2 linked regions of the Daphnia pulex genome follow. The protein of the gene in region 2 interacts with the protein of the main gene of each other region in a pairwise test. Links are inferred from orthologs where the notes say so. Each region holds a gene or a part of one and is shown on either strand. Other genes may lie near its edges. The genes, in order: WD40 repeat-containing protein SMU1-like and protein Red-like.

Evidence for each region.
Region 1: the proteins of protein Red-like (region 2) and WD40 repeat-containing protein SMU1-like interact in binary tests that used the Caenorhabditis elegans proteins (3 or more experiments, as listed by UniProt). The link is inferred for Daphnia pulex from reciprocal best matches to the Caenorhabditis elegans genes smu-2 and smu-1.

The regions. Positions count from the first base shown.
Region 1 is NC_060024.1:13,654,755-13,659,180, forward strand, and holds WD40 repeat-containing protein SMU1-like, read left to right. Parts: upstream 1-1,448; 5' UTR 1,449-1,571; coding exon 1,572-1,597; intron 1,598-1,664; coding exon 1,665-1,731; intron 1,732-1,815; coding exon 1,816-1,959; intron 1,960-2,028; coding exon 2,029-2,143; intron 2,144-2,212; coding exon 2,213-2,631; intron 2,632-2,694; coding exon 2,695-2,918; intron 2,919-2,993; coding exon 2,994-3,288; intron 3,289-3,364; coding exon 3,365-3,517; intron 3,518-3,584; coding exon 3,585-3,683; 3' UTR 3,684-3,742; downstream 3,743-4,426. Other genes in the region: BTB/POZ domain-containing protein 17-like, read right to left, coding at 3,901-4,191, 4,276-4,373. UniProt on the Caenorhabditis elegans protein: Involved in pre-mRNA splicing as a component of the spliceosome. Selectively regulates alternative splicing of unc-52 exon 17.
Region 2 is NC_060027.1:2,116,460-2,120,845, reverse strand, and holds protein Red-like, read right to left. Parts: upstream 3,101-4,386; 5' UTR 2,964-3,100; coding exon 2,954-2,963; intron 2,887-2,953; coding exon 2,856-2,886; intron 2,782-2,855; coding exon 2,611-2,781; intron 2,553-2,610; coding exon 2,391-2,552; intron 2,324-2,390; coding exon 2,051-2,323; intron 1,980-2,050; coding exon 1,421-1,979; intron 1,355-1,420; coding exon 1,199-1,354; intron 1,131-1,198; coding exon 880-1,130; intron 818-879; coding exon 787-817; 3' UTR 598-786; downstream 1-597. Other genes in the region: ribose-phosphate pyrophosphokinase 1, read left to right, coding at 1-77; flocculation protein FLO11-like, read right to left, coding at 3,322-3,402, 3,467-3,636, 3,695-3,950, 4,015-4,386. UniProt on the Caenorhabditis elegans protein: Auxiliary spliceosomal protein that regulates selection of alternative splice sites in a small set of target pre-mRNA species. Selectively regulates alternative splicing of unc-52 exon 17.

The sequences.
Region 1 (4,426 bases), on a different chromosome or scaffold from region 2:
AAGAAATAAAAAAAGGTACTACAAGGCGCTCATCCGGCGAGTTGTTGCCGGTGAACAACGAAGAGAGAGCCACTATACCAGCCAGCCAGCACAGGACAAAGACATTCGAGACCAAAAGTGGTCGCTCGGTCGCCCTAATGCAGGTCTCTGCTGGTCTGTTGCACGGATGGTGATCTAGGTGAAGGGCAAGACAAACAAGAAATGGAAATGGAAATAACACAGCAGCGACGATGGAGAGAGGCGAAATCACTCTCGCTTTCTAAAAATCTAAGGGCGACTCTACTACTATTTCTCTCTCTTATTCTTTCATATATAGGTTCTCTTTTCTTTCTATTAGCCCGCGTGGTGTGTTTCTCTTTTCAAACTTCTTTTTCCCTTTTTCACCGAATATACTATGTTGTGTTATGTCATCGCAAAACTAACAGCCCCGCCAGCAGCTTTTTCTTTCCTGTGATTACTCAACAAATGGAAGGGAAAAAGAGTCGCGCGCGTGGTGGGGAAAACTGGCCAACTTTTTGATTAAATACACACACGCTCTTTCATTATTATTATTATGATTACTATGATTTCCATTGTTCCATATCTCTCTTTTTTTTTCCTGCCTTTCCATTCGACCAGATTTTCTACTGCCCGTATAGTGTGTGCTGTATTAACTGCTGCGGAAGAAAAATGTTGACAGGGTTTCCACAACTTTCCCCGCGCTGTAATAATTGAAGGATGTCGCAAGGACTTTCGGGGGGCTGTCCTTATTTCCAATCTTTTCAGCTCAAATACCATCGGGACTATAAGCGATATATTCCGTTGGCAGCATTTATCTCTGCAATAAAGGCACGAGATCAAGGTATTTCATATTGTCGGTGCATAATATAATGGGAAAGGGGATAAACTATATCGCAACTTGCCGACCAACGGTCGAGGCGAACCGGTATACAGCCAATGACAAATGAACGGCCAAATCTGTGGAATTTGCGCACGAATGAATCATTCATGGCTCGCCGTCTGGACAAAAGAAAAAAGAAAATAAGAAACGGATTGAGGACAGCTTGTCCGTGACTCGGATCGATAATATAATGGCGAAACAAATCCAAGTCAAAACAAACGTATACATATAATTCTTTTAGACGAAGGTAGGTTACTAATTCGGGCTATAGTCATTGCTATTGTTATGGCTATACTTGCAATTCATCGAATTAATAATAAGCTATTTGACTACATTTTATGAATGGCTGTAATTCCCATTTTGCGACAATTAAAATAGCATATCGTAAATTTCTTGATTGGGACTCTATCCCAGACCAAAGTTTGTTAAATAGACAATTCATTGAAATTATCAAATCCAAATTAATTTCTTAGATTAAGAACATAGGTGTAATTTAACTATAAGGTTAATAAAACCTCTAAAAGACAATGTTGTCCAACTTGGCAGCTTTACTTTCTTTGATTTTTCAAATTTCGCACGAAACTCTCTAGTTTTAAAAGTGAGCTCTAGATGGCTCTTGAAACAAACAAACTTGTGACAGAAGAAGCTGATCGGTTTACAATTTGGAAATTCTTAAAAATTGTTTCTGAAAATGTCTATTGAAATTGAATCAGCCGAGTAATTACAAACATACATTTTAAAACATTGAGTTCCTAATGTAACATGCATTTCCTTAATCTTCTAGCGTTATTCGTCTCATCCAGCAGTTCTTGAAAGAGTCTAACTTGATGAGGACCCTCCAAGTGCTCCAGGTACCATGCCGGTTTTTGTTTTCTTACTCAATGTAGCCGAAAACAATATTCATTAAACAAATCTTTATCTTCCTCATTATGTAGGATGAAACAGGCATTTCTCTCAACACTGTCGATTCAGTTGAATCATTTGCAGATGACATTCTCAGTGGCCATTGGGATACAGTTTTAAAAGCAACACAATCTCTTAAACTTCCAGACAAGAAATTAATTGACCTTTATGAACAGGTATCAATCACTCATCAAGAATCTTTGCAAATTCTAGAGTCATAATAATAACGGGTAACAAATTGCTAGGTCGTTTTAGAATTGATAGAGCTCCGTGAGTTGGGGGCAGCCAGATCACTGCTGCGTCAGACAGATCCTATGGCCCTTATGAAACAGCAAGAACCTGATCGATATTTAAATCTAGGTCAGTTCTTCTTCTTTAGTCAACCCACCATCAGTAATTGATGAATTTCTTTTTGTTCGTCTTCCATAGAAAACCTGCTGGCTAGGTCTTATTTTGACACCAGGGAAGCATATCCCGAAGGAAGCAGTAAAGAAAAACGGAGAGCAGCCATTGCTCAAGCTCTGAGTGGAGAAGTGTCCGTGGTACCACCATCTCGTCTACTCGCTCTACTCGGGCAATCTTTGAAATGGCAACAGCATCAAGGACTTTTGCCTCCCGGTACCAGTATCGATCTTTTCAGAGGTAAAGCTGCCATCAAAGAACAAGAAGAGGAACAGCCACCTACTCAGTTGACTAAACACATCAAATTCGGACAAAAGTCTCACGTCGAATGCGCAAAATTCTCACCTGACGGACAGTATCTGGTCACCGGCTCTGTTGACGGCTTTATTGAAGTTTGGAATTTTACCACCGGAAAGATTCGTAAAGATCTCAAATACCAAGCTCAGGTAATCAAGAAATGTACCCTTCAATTTCAAATCACTGTAACATATTTTTGTTTTTATCTCCAGGACAATTTCATGATGATGGAAGATGCTATTCTCTGCCTAACCTTTAGTCGTGACTCTGAAATGCTTGCTAGTGGCTCTCAAGATGGCAAAATCAAAGTTTGGAAAATTCAGACTGGCCAGTGCCTACGCAAATTTGAGAAAGCCCATAGCAAAGGTGTGACCAGTATGCAGTTTTCCAAAGATAACAGCCAGCTATTGACAGGATCGTTCGACATGTCCGTCAGGTAAAGGCAATTGTTCCCATCTTTTTGTGAAAAATAATCGACGATCTTTGCTGATTCTTAAACTTTTATTTGCAGAGTCCACGGTTTAAAATCGGGCAAGACTCTGAAAGAATTCCGTGGCCACACTTCCTTCGTCAACGAAGCCATTTTCACAGCCGATGGTCATCACGTGTTGAGTGCTTCCTGTGACGGCAGTGTCAAAGTCTGGAGTATGAAATCGGGCGAGTGCGTCTCCACGTACAAATCGCTGGGCGGTTCATCAGGCGGTGACTTGACGATTCACACCATCACCCTCCTACCCAAGAACCCAGAGCAGTTTATCGTCAGCAATAAGAGCAGTACTGTAGTTATCATGAATATGCAGGGACAGGTAAGAGAAATATCTAAACGTTAATCGCCTAACGCTAAAATAATCCATTTCGTTCTTTATTAAAAAATACGCGTAGATTGTCAGATCATTCACCAGCGGTAAGCGTGATGGTGGTGACTTTGTTTGCTGTACCCTATCACCTAAAGGCGAATGGATTTATTGCATCGGTGAAGACATGGTGCTCTATTGTTTCTCCATCGCATCAGGCAAACTCGAAAAAACTTTAACGGTACTTTTTATTCTTTCTCGTAATTTCGCTGCTAGTTGTCGTTCTCATTTCTCCATTTCTGATTTAGGTCCACGAGAAAGAAGTCATAGGCATGAGTCACCACCCGCATCAAAATCTCCTATGTACCTACAGTGAAGACGGATTTCTGAGAATGTGGCGACCTTAAACTTTGATGACGAATCTATTTTGAACGAGGAAAAATACAGGTGTCGTTTTGTGAAGCTAGAAATGACTCTTCGATTTTCACAGCAAAGAGTCAACAGATTGGAGTTGAAACAACATGATGGTGAAACACAAGGCATAAATTTCATTCATAATTTTGTGCTGCTTCTCTTGGTTCCTGACTCTTTCGTTGTTAGCCCGTATTTCCACTTAAGGTGTTTTCATCTTTCCCGTCGCTTGTAAGGTCGCTGAGGTAGAATGATGAGTTGGACCTTGAGCGTGTCACGCTTGGGCCCAACCAGGAAAGGCGATGGTGGACTATTTGGCTGTGGCCGATCACAATCGAACCGATCCGGATTGATGTCCGAGTATGTCAGTAAGTTGTCATATCGCAGCACTGGTTCTTCCTGCGAGAAGATGAAATTCCGGACCGTTGTGCTTCGCACATGTTCAACTCCGCCGTGTACACCGTAAACCAGTACAGCTACACGGACGTGAGCTTCAATAGGGTCCTGCATCAACAAAAGTTCAACAATTCAGAATGGCGCTTCAATCAAATTAAAAAAAAAAAAAAAAAAGATTAACGATGAAACGACCTTCAGCATGAGTGACAGTCTTACTGTACGCAAAACTGTTTCTGGAACTTCGATATTTCCTTGCCAGACAATTAGACAGCAAGGCCGAAACCACACTCCTGTCACACAGTCAAAAAGGTATGTAAATTGAAATTGGGCTATCAGGGTATGA
Region 2 (4,386 bases):
TGATGTTCGCCGAGGCCGTACGACGCACCCACAATGGCGAGTCGGTGTCGTACCTGTTCTCCAACGTCCCCTACTAAATATAGTACAATTAGCGCACCGAACACCTGCGAGCTTCATCACTACAATGATTGTCGCTGTGGCCTCCCTCTCTGGCACCAACCCTCCTTCTCTTTTTGCAGTTTAGATACATTCCACACATTCGATCATTATTTTTCTTCTTTTTTTTCCCGACTTGTCTATGTGTGGCAACCACGATATATATCTATCTATCCGCTACTTTCAAGATGAAATGGAAAACTCCTCCCAAGCAGCCTTTTTTCTTTCCATCCATTTGGCCCGTTGCGATGAGCCCAACCCCTTCATTCTTCTTGATAGACAAGATTGACAAATAGAGTTGTGCCATAATTGTCACATGCCCTCTTTCGATGCTCGTTGGTGTGCTTTGTGGTGGCTTTCATGTGTGTTTATCCTTTTTCTTTTTATATGGGTCAGTCTTTGACGAACCACTATATACTTTTCTCACTTTCTGTCTTGTTGAATATCTTTTGGTCCACAAAAATAGTTTTTGTTTAGAAAAAAAAATGGAATGAAATTGACTGATGCTCTGGAATTGTTTCACTGCACTTGTGATGAAATATATATGAAGCTAGTGAGGGTACGAAAAACAAATCTTTTCATTCACGATGGGTACCTAAATGAATGCAGTTAATTGGGAACATTAGAAAACATTTTCGCGGTCAATACAGTAGAATATGGTTAATGAAGGAAAACCAATGATGAAAAATATCAATTACGACGAACAGACTTCTCCGGTTTTCTAAACGAATAAGAAATCATGAATTATACAGGAAAACATTTTGAAATAATTATGAAACTTACTGTGATTCTCCCGATGGACCTCCTTTACGCTTGTGTAGGATAGATTGGATCTTCTGCCATTCTCGGTCCAGTTCCGCTTTCTCCGTCTTATCTGTTTTGACAACAGTCTTGTTGCGCGTCTTGCGTCCGTCGGCCATCTTGATACCATACTGATAGGCAGCTTTAGGAAGGGCTTCCTTTTTGTTCATGTAATCACCATACTCTTCCGCTGTATCAAAGTCCCATCGACCGACTGGTCCTTTTTTGTTGCCCTGAGAAATAAGTTTACAAAAAGAATCTGTAAAATCAATTTTCAATCAACGTTTTAATCATTTCTTACCAGGTCCATTTTTGAGTAATCGGCTTCATCGTCCGAGTCTTCAAGAGCGTCGTTCATTTCCTCGAAACCAGGATAGCATTCGGCATATCCTTCAGGTTCAGCGGATAGTTTAGAAAGCATTTTATCTGCCTTCTTGGAAGACCCACCATCTCGTTTCTGTGAATCAATAGACAATCAATAACTGGTAAAAGATGAAACTCAGTATCATTATTGAAAACTTGCATCAGCTGCTCCTGGTTTTAGCAGGGCACCCAGAGTCCGTTCAGCTTCCAAAACTGCGGCGCTTTTCAAAGCATCCTTGGACTTGTCTCGATCAGCATCTCCGTCTTTATCCTTGCGGGATTTGTCGTCAAAGTAGTCACGCTTGTCACTTCGCCTTTCCCTGTCACGTGAACTACTAGAGGCAGTTTTCTCCTTTGTCGGGGCCACATAAGTCCCGATATTGCTGTAGATGGTGTCTTCTACTATTGTGGATTTGTTGACTTTCAGGCCGGGGATGATTTGCGGGGGTGGCATGTCTTTGTTTTCTTTGGGCTTTTTGAGCTTTTTGCCGATTTTTCCTTGCCGGAGGTACGATAAAATTTGCGTCAGCTTATTAATGACAATGTCATTTGTAGACAGAGTGGCTAAGGATTCCAGTCCGGGGCAATCAGCTTTGCTTCTCAACACGGTCGTTGGTATGTCTGACTCGGCATTCTCATCTTCTAACTCGATAAGATACGCCATTCGACCAGGAAGGAAATGTTCGTTTCGCTCAGGTGGTTTTGATCTGAATACGGCCCTGCATTTTAAAATAAATAAAACAATAAATTAACTCATGATCATTTCAATGATATGAAGTTGAAGTTTTACCTAAAAATGTTTTTTCCTATAATTGTTTTAAACTGGATCTCATCGTCACCTTCCTTCTTTTTCTCGACTTCCTTTTCTCCCTCTTTTTTTTCGCCTTCAACAGCCTGTTCGAGTTGTTCGTCATCCTCTTCTTCAAACTGCTCCATTTCACTGCGTACTTTCTGGAGAAGAGCATAATCGAGACCTTTCACCAAGTGAGTGTGTTCCATGTCACCACCCAAAAACTTTGATTCTTGGATCATTTGTTTCCTTCGTTCAGCAGCATCCATTGTTCTGTAAAAGAAATTTGATTCATGTTGATTGTTTGAAGTTTTTCAGTAGAAAAGTATGACTGTAGTACGATTTTATATCTGGTGCTACAGCACGATAAGCTCCAAGTGTCGCTAACGCATCAGGGCCAGAAGCTTCGCCTCCATCTCGTCTTTCTTTAGCACGATCGCGATATTTTTTTGCAAGTTCAGCTAGAATTTCTTCTTCTTCTTTTTTCTCTTTCAAGTATTCACTAAAATTATTCAAAGACGTTAACAACTATTAATGCATAGTTTGAATGAGTGTCTCACCTTTTTTTAGCTCTTTTCTGGTCACTTTTCCCATGTGTTGTTTTACGAACACTACTCTCTCCTCGAACAGACCCCATCCCCAAATTACTTGAAGAACCTGAACCTGATCCAAATCCAGCACGAGGTGTCATCATCAACTTTCGGAAGTCATCGTTTGTCAACCTGGAGGATCTACGGATTAAAAAATAAAAACAATAAGCTACATTAATTTGGAACATGGTCTAAATGAATGAATCATTTCTTACGCTTCCCCAGGTCCAGCGTCCTGCCCATCTCCTGAAACGAAATTCAATTTAAAGTTACTATACATTATTTCAATAAAAAATTACAGCAATGATCTTACTGTCAGGCATTATTAGGCCGATAGATAGTTGAATTCACAATGAGAAAACAAAATTTACAAAAACTTTGCTTGCCAAAGCCAAACAGTTCGAAACTTCGAACTTGTCGAAACAACAGACGAAGCAAACTAACGTCGTCTGCTAAGTCTACGGGAATACTAAACAGTAGCTGAAGGAAAAACAAAATAAATAAAAACGCGGGGAGTATGAATTCTGAGCATTACGCCAGTGTATTTTTCACATCATTATTTCTGCGTTTTTGTCATCGGAATTATAACAAAATCAGTACCATGAAACGAAATCATTGTAGTATTCTTTCAAAGCCTACTTAAAAAGTAGATAAGTTTCACACAGAGAAAATCTCTTCATATTAGCCATTGACTTTACACAAAGCCTCTAAATTAGGAAGCTGACAATAAGCAACTTCACCGTTGAGTGATCCCCCAACCATCTGAAATAAAATTTCATTACTTCAAGCCTCAGGATTTTCAAAAATAAGTAAACCAAAACAATACCTTGCCATTGACGATTTTCATACATGTGATTGTCTTCAAGGCCTGCCCTGGCAAAGTGATAATTCGAGACGGCTTATGCAATGTATCTATTACTCGAATAACTCCATCCATACAGCCAAGGATGAGATATCGGTTCCCTTCAAAGGACGAACTCACAGCCGCAGAGGGAACTAAAACATTTGAAAATTTTAATTACTTTATCGGAAAATTAACTCTACACGTTCTTACGAGTTTCCGTGATATACATATTATCACTATTTGTGTCGAATTTAAAGAGGTTCTTGTTGGCGTCGCAGCAGAACACATAGTGCGAGGTACTTGACATACAGTAAAAAGAACTGCTCGGAATGTTTGAGGTCAATGTGAAGAGAGCATCTTCCGTATCCAAGTCATAAACAACGGGGTCCATTCGCCTCGCTGCCACAATGATTGCTCTTTTTCCCCGAACGTTTAGTATCTTCATACAAATGACTTCACCATTCGCCTGCAAAAATAGAAGCTTTTGAAATTGTTCTAACTCGTAACTTATTTTACCAAATCAAACTTACTTTAAATTTGTTTATCCGGATACTATTGATTTTGGGATTATAAGTGAAGATGGTTCCTTCCGTAGTGCCCACATAGAGCTTTGTGATAAATTTGTGGCCCACTGCACACGTCAAAGCATGTTTACAAAATCTTTCGTGGATCAAGGAGCCACTGTCTAATGCAAACTGTCGAATGTGTGCGTCTTCACTGCCCGTGATGAGCGTCAAGTGGTTGAGATAGTCAGTAGTGGACTTGATCGACTTCATCACCTCACCCGACGTGTTCAATGCGACTCCGTACAACCAAGTAACCGGCTTGGTGTGACCCAATATCCGCATGGCGAGCGCATTCGTATTCAAATCGTAAATGTGGACCGTCCCATCTTCTGAAGC